Macaca fascicularis: one gene and its partners. The protein of the gene in region 3 purifies or fractionates together with the protein of the main gene of each other region. This does not show direct contact. Links are inferred from orthologs where the notes say so. Each region holds a gene or a part of one and is shown on either strand. Other genes may lie near its edges.

The links.
Region 1: the proteins of DAP3 (region 3) and HNRNPU purify together in Homo sapiens (affinity purification with mass spectrometry; 3 studies listed by BioGRID and IntAct, with this or other methods). This does not show direct contact. The link is inferred for Macaca fascicularis from reciprocal best matches to the Homo sapiens genes DAP3 and HNRNPU.
Region 2: the proteins of DAP3 (region 3) and YBX1 purify together in Homo sapiens (co-immunoprecipitation; 3 studies listed by BioGRID and IntAct, with this or other methods). This does not show direct contact. The link is inferred for Macaca fascicularis from reciprocal best matches to the Homo sapiens genes DAP3 and YBX1.

What each region holds. Positions count from the first base shown.
Region 1 is NC_088375.1:4,313,664-4,317,915, forward strand, and holds the start of HNRNPU (heterogeneous nuclear ribonucleoprotein U), read left to right. Parts: upstream 1-1,434; 5' UTR 1,435-1,672; coding exon 1,673-2,363; intron 2,364-3,253; coding exon 3,254-3,365; intron 3,366-3,452; coding exon 3,453-3,526; intron 3,527-4,252. UniProt on the Homo sapiens protein: DNA- and RNA-binding protein involved in several cellular processes such as nuclear chromatin organization, telomere-length regulation, transcription, mRNA alternative splicing and stability, Xist-mediated transcriptional silencing and mitotic cell progression.
Region 2 is NC_088375.1:192,169,049-192,172,658, reverse strand, and holds the end of YBX1 (Y-box-binding protein 1), read left to right. Parts: intron 1-1,538; coding exon 1,539-1,773; 3' UTR 1,774-1,804; intron 1,805-2,703; 3' UTR 2,704-3,086; downstream 3,087-3,610. UniProt on the Homo sapiens protein: DNA- and RNA-binding protein involved in various processes, such as translational repression, RNA stabilization, mRNA splicing, DNA repair and transcription regulation.
Region 3 is NC_088375.1:105,380,995-105,384,641, forward strand, and holds part of DAP3 (small ribosomal subunit protein mS29), read right to left. Parts: intron 339-3,647; coding exon 230-338; intron 1-229. UniProt on the Homo sapiens protein: As a component of the mitochondrial small ribosomal subunit, it plays a role in the translation of mitochondrial mRNAs. Involved in mediating interferon-gamma-induced cell death. Displays GTPase activity in vitro.

The DNA of each region.
Region 1 (4,252 bases), about 100 Mb from region 3:
GAACTGGGGATTATCAGTAGTACCGTACATAGTCCATTAATTTCAAGTCAAATCATTTCACAAATGTTAATATTTCACGTATACATGGCTGCAAGGTATGACAGAATGCTTCATAAAAGCCATTGAAAATAAACTTCAAAAGTAAAATGCATCAATCAGTTAAATCCCATTAGCCTATGGGAGAAATTTCAATATGTATACCTCCAAATTTCAAATTAATAATGGGGCAATATTATTGTGCCACCTAGAGTACCAAACAGTGGGTATAAACCATCTCCTTAGTCAGATGGAACACTGGCTGGACACTGCAGATTATCTGGGGTTTAAGACGTTAACTTCTATCACGAATCTAAATTCTGACTTCCCTGTCTAAAACTTCGGGAACATCACATCTTTTATTTAAAGCGAAAAAGTAAACTTCTAACATACAAAATAACGGATTTCTTTTCAAGAGCGATAGTCCTTTTTTTTTTTTTTTTTTTTTTAACAAAATCACTGCCCTTGATTTTTCATGAACTTTAAGTTTCAGAATGATTTGGTCAAGAGTATTTCTACAGGAATAGGAAGAGAATCAAGTGGGCCTATAATCAAAGACCTAGCTGGGTCTCACCCTCATGGTTAACTACTGAGACTTCATAGCCGATGACCAGGTCCTAAAGTGGACAGAACAAGCCTTACTGGAGGTCCGTCTTTGTGGTAGGTACAGAAAACTTGGAAATGCAATTCTGTGGTTTATTTAGGGTTATTAAGAGCATGAGAATAGCCCTGCAAAGGCTGGTAAACTAGGGTTTGCAGTATGGAGTAGTAAGCAAAGCCTCTACTTCCCAGGCCCTGCACCCGGGGTGTGGAACAGACAAAAGAACGGCTCTGCCCTTGCCCTTCTCGAACTTAAAATCCAATTCGCAAAGCAGGACTTACACATATTAAATCAAATACAGCATTATGCTGAAAAGAGCCCCTGCGTGTAACAGTTGCCAATGTGTGTTATACCAGTCAAAACGATTTGAAGGAGTTTTAAACGAAAAGCTGGAGAAACATACAAGAAGGCAGATCTAAGATGGAAGAAAAGGCGTATTCGGGTTGAAATGCCAAGTTGAGGACTGAAGAAAGCATTTGGACAAAGCAGCCTCCAGGCTGGGAAGGCGAAAAGCCAAACGAGTATAGCCACCAAAGACCCAGAAAGGCCAATAGATTGTGCAGTGAGTCGGTTTAACTGAAAGGCGGTTTCCTTTTCCTCCATTTGCTCAGTCCCAATTGGAAGCGCACTGCGCGGCCTGCGCCGCGCTCTCCGCCCGGGTTCGGCGTGGGGGCGGGGAGGTAAGTACGGTAATGGGCGGGGCCGAGCGCGGGCGCGCTCCGGCTTTCCTCCTGCGCAGCGCTCCCGTCAGCGCAGGGGGCGGGGCGCCTATATTACGTGCGCGGCGCCGCCCCTGCGAGAGGACGTTGCGTGCTCGCTCGCGCCAGGCGAGTCTCCGCGTCTCCCTCGCGAACTCGGTGAAAGGAATTGGCGCCGTTCGACACCAGGCGGATCCGCTCTGCAGCACGACCCCATCTCCAGCCGCAGCCGCAGCCGCCGCCCGGGCCGAGGAGCAGCCGCAGCAGCCGCCACCAGTGGCCGAGTGAGCGGAGCCGAGTTTGAGGCAGCGCCTAGCGGTGAATCGGGGCCCTCACCATGAGTTCCTCGCCTGTTAATGTAAAAAAGCTGAAGGTGTCGGAGCTGAAAGAGGAGCTCAAGAAGCGACGCCTTTCTGACAAGGGTCTCAAGGCCGAGCTCATGGAGCGACTCCAGGCCGCGCTGGACGACGAGGAGGCCGGGGGCCGCCCCGCCATGGAGCCCGGGAACGGCAGCCTAGACCTGGGCGGGGATTCCGCCGGGCGCTCGGGAGCAGGCCTCGAGCAGGAGGCCGCGGTCGGCGGCGATGAAGAGGAGGAGGAAGAGGAAGAGGAGGAGGAAGGAATCTCCGCCCTGGACGGCGACCAGATGGAGCTAGGAGAGGAGAACGGGGCCGCGGGGGCGGCCGACTCGGGCCCGATGGAGGAGGAGGAGGCCGCCTCGGAAGACGAGAACGGCGACGATCAGGGTTTCCAGGAAGGGGAAGATGAGCTCGGGGACGAAGAGGAAGGCGCGGGCGACGAGAACGGGCACGGGGAGCAGCAGCCTCAACCGCCGGCGACGCAGCAGCAACAGACCCAACAGCAGCGCGGGGCCGCCAAGGAGGCCGCGGGGAAGAGCAGCGGCCCCACCTCGCTGTTCGCGGTGACGGTGGCGCCGCCCGGGGCGAGGCAGGGCCAGCAGCAGGCGGGAGGTAAGAAGAAGGCGGAAGGCGGCGGAGGCGGCGGTCGCCCCGGGGCTCCGGCGGCGGGTGAGTGCTGCGTTGTACGTTGCGCGCGGCGGGAGGCCCGCGCGGGGTGGGGACCGTGCCCCAGGCCTGCCGGAGCCCCGCAGGGGGAGGGAGCCCCGGGCGGGCGGGGGCCGCGGGGAGGGTGGCGGGTGGGGGAGGGGGCGCGGGGAATCCCAGATTAGCCGAGAGGCCTCGGGCTCGGGGCGTGTGTGCGTGTGTTCGTGTGTGTGTGTGTGTGTGTGACGGCGGTGGCAGCGCCTCCATTATGTGGCTCGAGAGCCGGGGGGAGCTGCAGCTGCCGCTGGAGGGGGAGGAGCCGCGGGCGGGCGGCGGGAGGGAGCCCGGTCGGCCCGCGGTGGCGCCGTCGCGCTGCGTGCGCGCGGTGCGGGCACATGTCTCGGGGGGAGGGGAGAGGCCCCAGGTCCCGGGGCGGGCGCGCTTTGGCGGCTCCTCGCCGCTGTATTGTGCAAGGAGCGCAGGGGCTCGGCGTGACGTCACTTCCTGCGGGAGGAGCCGGGCGGGGCGGGGCGGGGGGCGGAAGATCAGTACAATGCGGCCGCGGGGAGCGCGGGCCCGCGGGGGAGGGGAGCGCCGCCGCGCCGGGCTCGGCCCCTCCCCCTCCTGCGCCCTGGTCGCGATACACGTGGGCTTCGGGCCTGGGCCGCGCAGTTTTTCTTTGGGTTTCTCGAATCATCGAGGAGACTGGCAAAATTCGTAACGTCTTTAGACTGCGTCACTAGCGCTAATCCAATTCGTAGCTGATTGTTCTTCGAATTCACATTTGAGTCCTCGGTTAAAACCTCAGTTAAAAAGCAGGATAAAGTCGAGCTGCTTTGCTTCTCGGAACGGAAAAGCGCTTTTTTGTTGTTGTTTAGCGGCCTGGCCTCTTATGGGGGTCTTGTGTGTTTTAGGGGACGGCAAAACAGAACAGAAAGGCGGAGATAAAAAGAGGGGTGTTAAAAGACCACGAGAAGATCATGGCCGTGGATATTTTGAGTACATTGAAGAGAACAAGTATAGCAGGTATAGGATGCTCACCTAGTTTTACTTGTCATCCCTTATTCGTTCGTTGATCGGAAAGCTGTATCAGGAGACAATTCTGTCTTTCAGAGCCAAATCTCCTCAGCCACCTGTTGAAGAAGAAGATGAACACTTCGATGACACAGTGGTTTGTCTTGATACTTGTAAGTGAAGCTGTTTCTCCCCAATTATGAAATGCGGTGATGGTTTTTATTTTTTTTTTTTGCTTCCAAAATGTTAGAAAACTTAATGCTTAAGTGCAGCAAAAGTTGGGTTAGTTTTTTTTAAAAGCAGGAAGAGATAATGGTTTATATTCAGAACCTAGTAGTTTAATATTTAGCACGGCATCAGTTGTATCAAATGGATTATTTTACAGGCTCTAGGAGTTTCATATTTTTATGACTTGAAAGTTCTCGTTCTTAGGAAATGTAAAATTAATGCCAGTTTCTGACTAGCTAACGGAAACTTGTAACACTACCTATAATTTAGCCTTACAGGCTTCTACAATAAAGTAATTCATTTTTTTGTGGAATTATATTAAGTGAGCTATTTGGGCTAGTTAAATATTTACTAATGACTTCTCCCATTAGCACACAAGTATATTCCCTATTCTAAAAGATTGTAATATTATTTTTTCAATAACTGCTCTTTTGTTCTCAATTCCAGTTCAGTAGCTGCTGCTTTAAACATAAGTTGATTTCTTCCAAAGACCTGAGGCAGCAGCAGTGGGCTATCACTGGGCCACTAGCTTTCTTCAGCAGCGAATGGTATCAATGGCAGTGCAGCACTGTAAATACTGCTACTTCACCCAGTTGGGTTGCAATTGAGTATGAGAAAGTATTGCAAACCTCTAAGTGGGCTTTGACTGTCAGACTTGCATTTTTTTTGTT
Region 2 (3,610 bases), about 87 Mb from region 3:
TTGTTAGAAACCTGATGTTTTCATGTGTAAGAAACAAGAATACATGGGCAAACATGTTTAATGGGAAGACATGGAAGCCTTTGTTTGCTCAATTGAGTCAAAAGAAGAGGAAGTTTGAAAAGTTTGGGGCAAAGAACCCTGTAGCAGAGAAAATAGAGATGGTAAATTTGTAAGTAATAGGATAACAATCATAAATTAGAAGTGAGTTCACCCAGCTTGGCTCTGTGTTTCTAGCCATTTGAGCATCAGGCTCAGATTGGGCAGAGAGTTGGATTTCTCTGGCATTGGTTTATCCAGACTTAGACCCTGGGGTAGGGATTGGTCATATGATTAATGGTGGACTTTATACTTGGATAAAGAGGGGAGAAAAGGGGAACATGAGGGGTTTTTAAAAATTGTGTTGTAGACATGGAGTTGCACTGTGTTACTCAAGCAGTCTTGAACTGCCCTCAAGTGATCCTCCCCAAGTGTTAGGATTACAGGTGTAAGCCACTGTGCCCAACCTTGGAGTGAGATGAACAGGTGATAGGATCGCTGTATTACAGGTCCTAGATGAAGAATGAGAAAACAATAAGGAATTAACTAGGAAAAATCAGAAGGTACATAATTGGAAAGGTGGGTAGTATAACTGAGAAAACCCAGGTAGAAAACAGCTGGACTGGGAGGTCGGTCTGAAAGCCCAGGTTATTAGAAGCTGTTATCCTCGAACCTTAATAATAACTGCAATAAGAAAAAGATAGTAAATGGAGCAGAATCCAAAATAAGATGGAACGCCTACAGTTTTTAGAAGCTAGGAGAGTTGATTTAGAAGCCACAATAAGGTTAGAACAGTCACCACTGGAGGGTTACAGAGAAAAGTCAGAACAATTTTGTTGAAGATTCATCATGAGTTCCAAAAGATGTGGGGAAAGAGTTTTAGAATGTACAAAGGTAAATGTGAATTTATTCCCATGATAACTGATAGATACTAAAGGCCTGGGGCTTTCTGGAGTGCTCAGGGTATGGGTGAAGGAAAGGCCAGGAATCCATCGTTTCTGAGCACTGGGGGAAAGAAAATCCCAAAATTTAGTATCTTTATCTTGGTGATTAAAAGACGCAACCCTTTAATCCCAGCACTTTTTGGGAGGCCAAGGAGGGAAGATAGCTTGAGCTCGGGAATTGAAGACCAGCCTGGGAAACATAGCAAGATATCTCTACTAAAAATCAGACATTAATGAGGCATTAGGGCTTGCCTATAGTCCTAGCTACTCAGGAGTCTGAGATGGGAAGATCACTTGAGCCTGGAAGATAGAGGCCACAGTGAGCTGTCATCATGCCATGGCACTTTAGCCTGGGCAACAAAGCAAGACTCCCAACCCGCCGACACCCACCCCCCCTGACAAAAAAAAAAAATCTCCTTACACAAATTGCCTACAGACCACTTGATACAGAGAATGGGCCAGACATGGTGAGTTAGTTGTGAACCAACTGGTAACACTGGTAGGTGTGTTGAAGAGAGAAGGTTTTATCATTCTTAAATTTGACACTGTTCATTGCAGGGGCCCTCCTCGCCAAAGACAGCCTAGAGAGGACGGCAATGAAGAAGATAAAGAAAATCAAGGAGATGAGACCCAAGGTCAGCAGCCACCTCAACGTCGGTACCGCCGCAACTTCAATTACCGACGCAGACGCCCAGAAAACCCTAAACCACAAGATGGCAAAGAGACAAAAGCAGCCGATCCACCAGCTGAGAATTCGTCCGCTCCCGAGGCTGAGCAGGGCGGGGCTGAGTAAATGCCGGCTTACCATCTCTACCATCATCCGGGTAAGCAAGCTTGGATGGCCATCATTTATGACAGTTGTGAGTGGTGACCATTTCATTTTATTAATACAAGAGGGGGAAAATCTCAGTTCCATCAGATAAAGCCATGTTATTTATAATGTGTTCTGCCCTGTTCTTAATTACCTAATATTTCATTTTAGGAATATTGAATATCATAGTCATATTTGGCCACCCCTCAGCTAGTTCTCAATTCTGACACTGGAGACCTGTATTTTCTTGAGTATTTTGAACTGTTAGCACTTTCTATCAACTTCTCTGAATGAATTTTATGATGTCACTAGTAAACGGAGGAAAGTTTTGCTAGCTGTATTCTGAGAAATAAGTTAATTACATTATTATTTATGCATTATTTCAAAAAAGAAGTAGGATAGCTATTAGAATTAACCCACTGAAAGTGGCAACATCGATATAATCTTTTAATCATTTCTAATTGTTTTTTGTTGGTTTATGTTGTTCCGGGAAAAAGATGAGAGTGTTTTGTGTCTAAAAACTCCTAGGAGAATGACTCACGGTTTATCATGGTGTATTTAAACTGCCTATAGATTAATAGTAGTAATTCTCTGGCAGACCACATGATACATTTTTGTTCTTGTTACTTTGGCTTATTAGCTCACTTGTTTTTGTTACCCTTAATTCCAAAATTAAGGGATTCCTTTTCATTCAGCATTTTACATGATATCGAGAGGTGTGTGATTGTCCTTCCCTCCGAAATTAGCATTCAACCAGTAGTGCTCTTGGTTTTTTCCCCTTTGCTATTTGCTGGATGGCAAAAGATCTGTTAATGTCTCCCAATACACAAGTAATGTAAGCTAGAGCATGTACTACACTAAATGAAGATTACCATGAATTCTACATGATCATCTTTATTTTTTTCTTTACAGTTTAGTCATCCAACAAGAAGAAATATGAAATTCCAGCAATAAGAAATGAACAAAAGATTGGAGCTGAAGACCTTAAGTGCTTGCTTTTTGCCCGTTGACCAGATAAATAGAACTATCTGCATTATCTATGCAGCATGGGGTTTTTATTATTTTTACCTAAAGACGTCTCTTTTTGGTAATAACAAACGTGTTTTTTAAAAAAGCCTGGTTTTTCTCAATACGCCTTTAAAGGTTTTTAAATTGTTTCATATCTGGTCAAGTTGAGATTTTTAAGAACTTCATTTTTAATTTGTAATAAAAGTTTACAACTTGATTTTTTCAAAAAAGTCAACAAACTGCAAGCACCTGTTAATAAAGGTCTTAAATAATTGTCTTTGTGTAAATTTGTCTAGTTTTGCTTTAGTTTAAGTTCTTAGCTATTTGTAGGACCCTCAGCTTGACCCAGTCTACAAATAGATGATGCTCACTGGCAATTCCCTCAGGTAAAATGTCTTTAAAATCTCTAATCCTTTAAGTGGCATGCCTGTGGGCCCATAATAAAAATTAGAAAATACATACTCTTGATAACCTGGCTATTTTTCATTGAAGGATTAGCTCATTTGTAAGGAAGGCTTTTTTTGTGTGGGTTCCTTTGGCTGTGAGGCAGTGTTTAAAAGGGCATTGCTCTAACCTAAACCAACCAGACTCTCATCCTGCTCCACTTAGTTTTGTCACGTTCGGAGAATTTATTTCAGTGTGCCAATTGAAGATGTCAACTTTAAAGTGTTAGGAGAACCTGTCACAATGCCTGGTGTGGTTCAGCTGCTTATGTCCTAGAGATGGAAACAAATAATATAAAACCCATGGGAAAACTGCTTAGAACATGGAGGTTGGTGAACTTGTAATTATGTGGTTCTCAACACCTTAT
Region 3 (3,647 bases):
GCTAATTTTTTGCATTTTTAGTAAATGCGGGGTTTCGCTATGTTGGCCAGGCAGGTCTTGAACTCCTGACTTCAGGTGATACGCCTGCTTCAGCTTCCCAAACTCCTGGGATTACAGGTGTGAGCCACAGTGCCTGGCCTCCATAGTACTTTTTTTCATTTCTTCTTTTCCCTTATTTGAGGGGAGAAAGCATTGGTTTATGAGGGTCCAAGCAGGCAGGAAAGGATACACAGAAGATATCGTACAGCCGGATAAGCAAAATTGGTGTTTTTCAGGTAATGCAGAAGTTCTAGGGCTGGTTTCCTTACCATCAGGCAAGCTTCACTGAGTGTCTTCACCTGATAAAATAGGAAAGAAGGAAGGAGTGGGTGGGGTGTGGAATTTCTAGCCAGTTCTTGGTATACATACTCTGCCAAAAGTGGCAACCAAGACCATCAAATTGCATGCCTCTAATTTATTCGGTTAGGAGAAGCTGGGTTGGTACTGAGTTTGAAAATCTATCCATATAACTTAGCTAAAAACTGAAATACATTATTCTGCACTAAGTAACGTGATAGCTTTTGATTATTCCTGTTACTGAAGCATATATTCTATCGCAGCTAAAATCTACAAATAATTGATATGTCTCATGACAAAATTATGTATACCACTTAGGGCCACTGTAAATATGGAAAGCATATAGAAAAATGCTTAAAATTTCTGACACAAGTTAATAATTCAATAAACATTAACTTTTTTTTTTTTTTTTTTGAGATGGAGTTTCACTCTTGTTGCTCAGGCTGGAATGCAATGGCACGATCTCGGCTCACCACAACCTCTGCCTCCCGGTTCAAGTGATTCTCCCACCTCAGCCTCCCGAGTAGCTGGGATTACAGGCATGCACCACCACGCCTGGCTATTTTGTATTTTTAGTACAGATGGAGTTTCTCAATATTGGTCAGGCTGGTCTCAAACTCCCGACCTCAGGTGATCCCCCTGCCTCGGCCTCCCTAAGTGCAGGGATTACAGGCGTGAGCCAGTGCGCCCGGCCTAAAATTTATTTTTAGTTAATTTTTTTTTTGAGACGGAGTCTCGCTCTGTCACCCAGGCTGGAGTGCGGTGGCGTGATCTTGGCTCACTGCAACCTCCGCCTCCTGGGTTCAAGCAATTCTCCCGCCTCAGCCTCCTCAGTAGCTGGGATTACAGGTGCCGCAACCACGCCAGGCTGATTTTTGTAATTTTAGTAGAGACAGGGTTTCACCATGTTGGTCAGGCTGGTCTCGAACTCCTGACCTCATGATCCGCCCACCTAGGTCTCCCAAGGTGCTGGGATTATAGGCATGAGCCACCGTGCCTGGCCTAAAATTTATTTTTATTACTTTAACCATTTACTTTTTTCTCTAGAACTAAATACATGGCAGCTCAGGAGCAGGTGTGACCAGCTGCCCCCACAACTCTAAGGCCATCCATACCTCACACCCCCAGCATACTAACCTTTCAGAGTTTATGTGTTCATTCCCCTTTTGCTACCAGAATACTTTGGCAGGAAATTTGGGAAGCACTAATGTGTGTGAAACTGATTTGCAAAGAAAATATTAAAATATGTCTACTAATAAGAATAAATATCTAACAAATACTATTTGTAAGTATAACTAAAATAGCGTTAATTTTTTTATTTTTTTGAGACAGAGTCTCGCTCTGTCGCACAGACTGGAGTGCAGTGACACGATCTCAGCTCACTGCAAGCTCTGCCTCCCGGGGTCAAGCGTTTTTCCTGCTTCAGTCTCACAAGTAGCTGTGACTACAGGCGTGCACCACCATGCCCAGCTAATTTTTGTATTTTTAGTAGAGACGGAGTTTCACCATGTTTGGCCAGGCTTGTCTTGAACTCCTGGCCTTAAGTAATCTGCTCACCTCGACTTCCCAAAGTGCTGGGATTACAGGCGTGAGCCACTGTACCCAGCCAGTGTTGATATTTTTAAAAGAAATCCTAACAAAACAATTGAATTGCTGTAGGATTTGACAGGCGATTCCAAACTTAATGGAAGGTTCAATGTTCAAAAAAACACGATACAGGTATTAAAACAAATGTCGGCTGGGCGTGGTGGCTCACGCCTGTAATCCCAGCACTTTGGGAGGCCAAGGCAAGTGGATCACCTGAGGTTAGTAGTTGGAGAGCAGCCTGGCCAATATGGCAAATCCCCATCTCTACTAAAAATATAAAAATTAGCCAGGCGTGGTGGCGAGCACCTGTAATCCCAGCTCCTTGGGAGGCTGAGGTAGGAGAATCACTTGAACTCAGGAGGCGGAGGTTACAGTGAGCTGAGATCACATCACTGCATTCCAGCCTGGGTGACAAAAGTGAAACTCTGTTTAAAAAAAAAAAAAAAAAAAAAAGGCACATCAGGGCTGGGAGCTGTGGCTCACACCTGTAATCCCAGCACTTTGAGATACCAAGACAGGAGGATCACTTGAGCCCAGGAGGTCAGAGATGTAGAGTACGCTATGGTCACGCCACTGTACCCCAGCCTGGTTGTCAGAGTGAGACAACCAGGCTCTGTAATTAAAATAATAATAATAAAATAAAAGTCAGCTACTCTAGGCACACTGTCCGTCAGTTAGGTCTGCTCCAAAAGAAGCAGTATTTAAAAAAAAAAATGTCATATTAGGCAGTATGACAATGCTAATATCCACAATAATGGTGAGGAAGTGGGCCTTCACGTAAATGAAAATTATGAAAAGAATGCTTAAGTTCTTCCAGAGCATTGTTGGTTAACCCAGTCTGAAAACAACTTCAAATAGTTAATTAAAGACAGTACCTCACAACCCTGAAGCTAAATCAATATTGTACTTGAATGTCTTGAACAGTTTAAAGTGCCACTGCAGATGCTTTCTTCTGGTTGTGTCCCATTTCCAATCTTAACAACAACAACAAAAATTTTTTTTAATTAAAATTGTTTTTTGGAGACAGGGTCTCACTCTGTTGCCCAAGTTGGAGTGCTGTGGCACTATCGTAGCTCACTGCAGCCTGAACTCCGGGGCTCAAGCCATCCTCCTGCCTCAGCCTCCTAAGGAGCTGCCTCCTAAGGAGCTACCTCAAGGAGCTACCACACACGACTAAATGTTTTTTTTTTTTTTGAGTGAGCAACAGCAAGAATTTATTGTGAAGAGGAAAAGAACAAAACTTCCACAGTGTGGAAGGGGACCCCAGCAGGTTGCCCGTGTTTTTCTTTCTAAAGATACAGTCTCATTATATTGCCCAGCTGGTCTTAAACTCCTGCACTCAAACGATCGTCCCACCTTCACCTCCCAAAGTGCTGAGACTACAGGCATAAACTACCTTGCCTGGCCTGTTATACCTTACTTTGCTTGAGATAAGGTCTCGCTCTGTTACCCAGGCTGGGGTACAGTGGTGCAATCACAGCTTACTGATCACCTCCTGAGCTCAAGTGATCCTCCAACCTCAGCCACCCGAGGAGCTGTGACTACAGGTGTGCACCATGTCCGGCTAATTTTTTATTTTTAATTTTTGTAGAGACAGGTCTCCCTATGTTGCCCAGACTGGTCTCGAACTCCTGGGCTCAAGTGATCCCTCCACCTTGGCCTCCCAAAGTGCAGCTGGGATTATAGGCATGAGCCATAGCGCCCGACCTGTTATGCCCTTATTA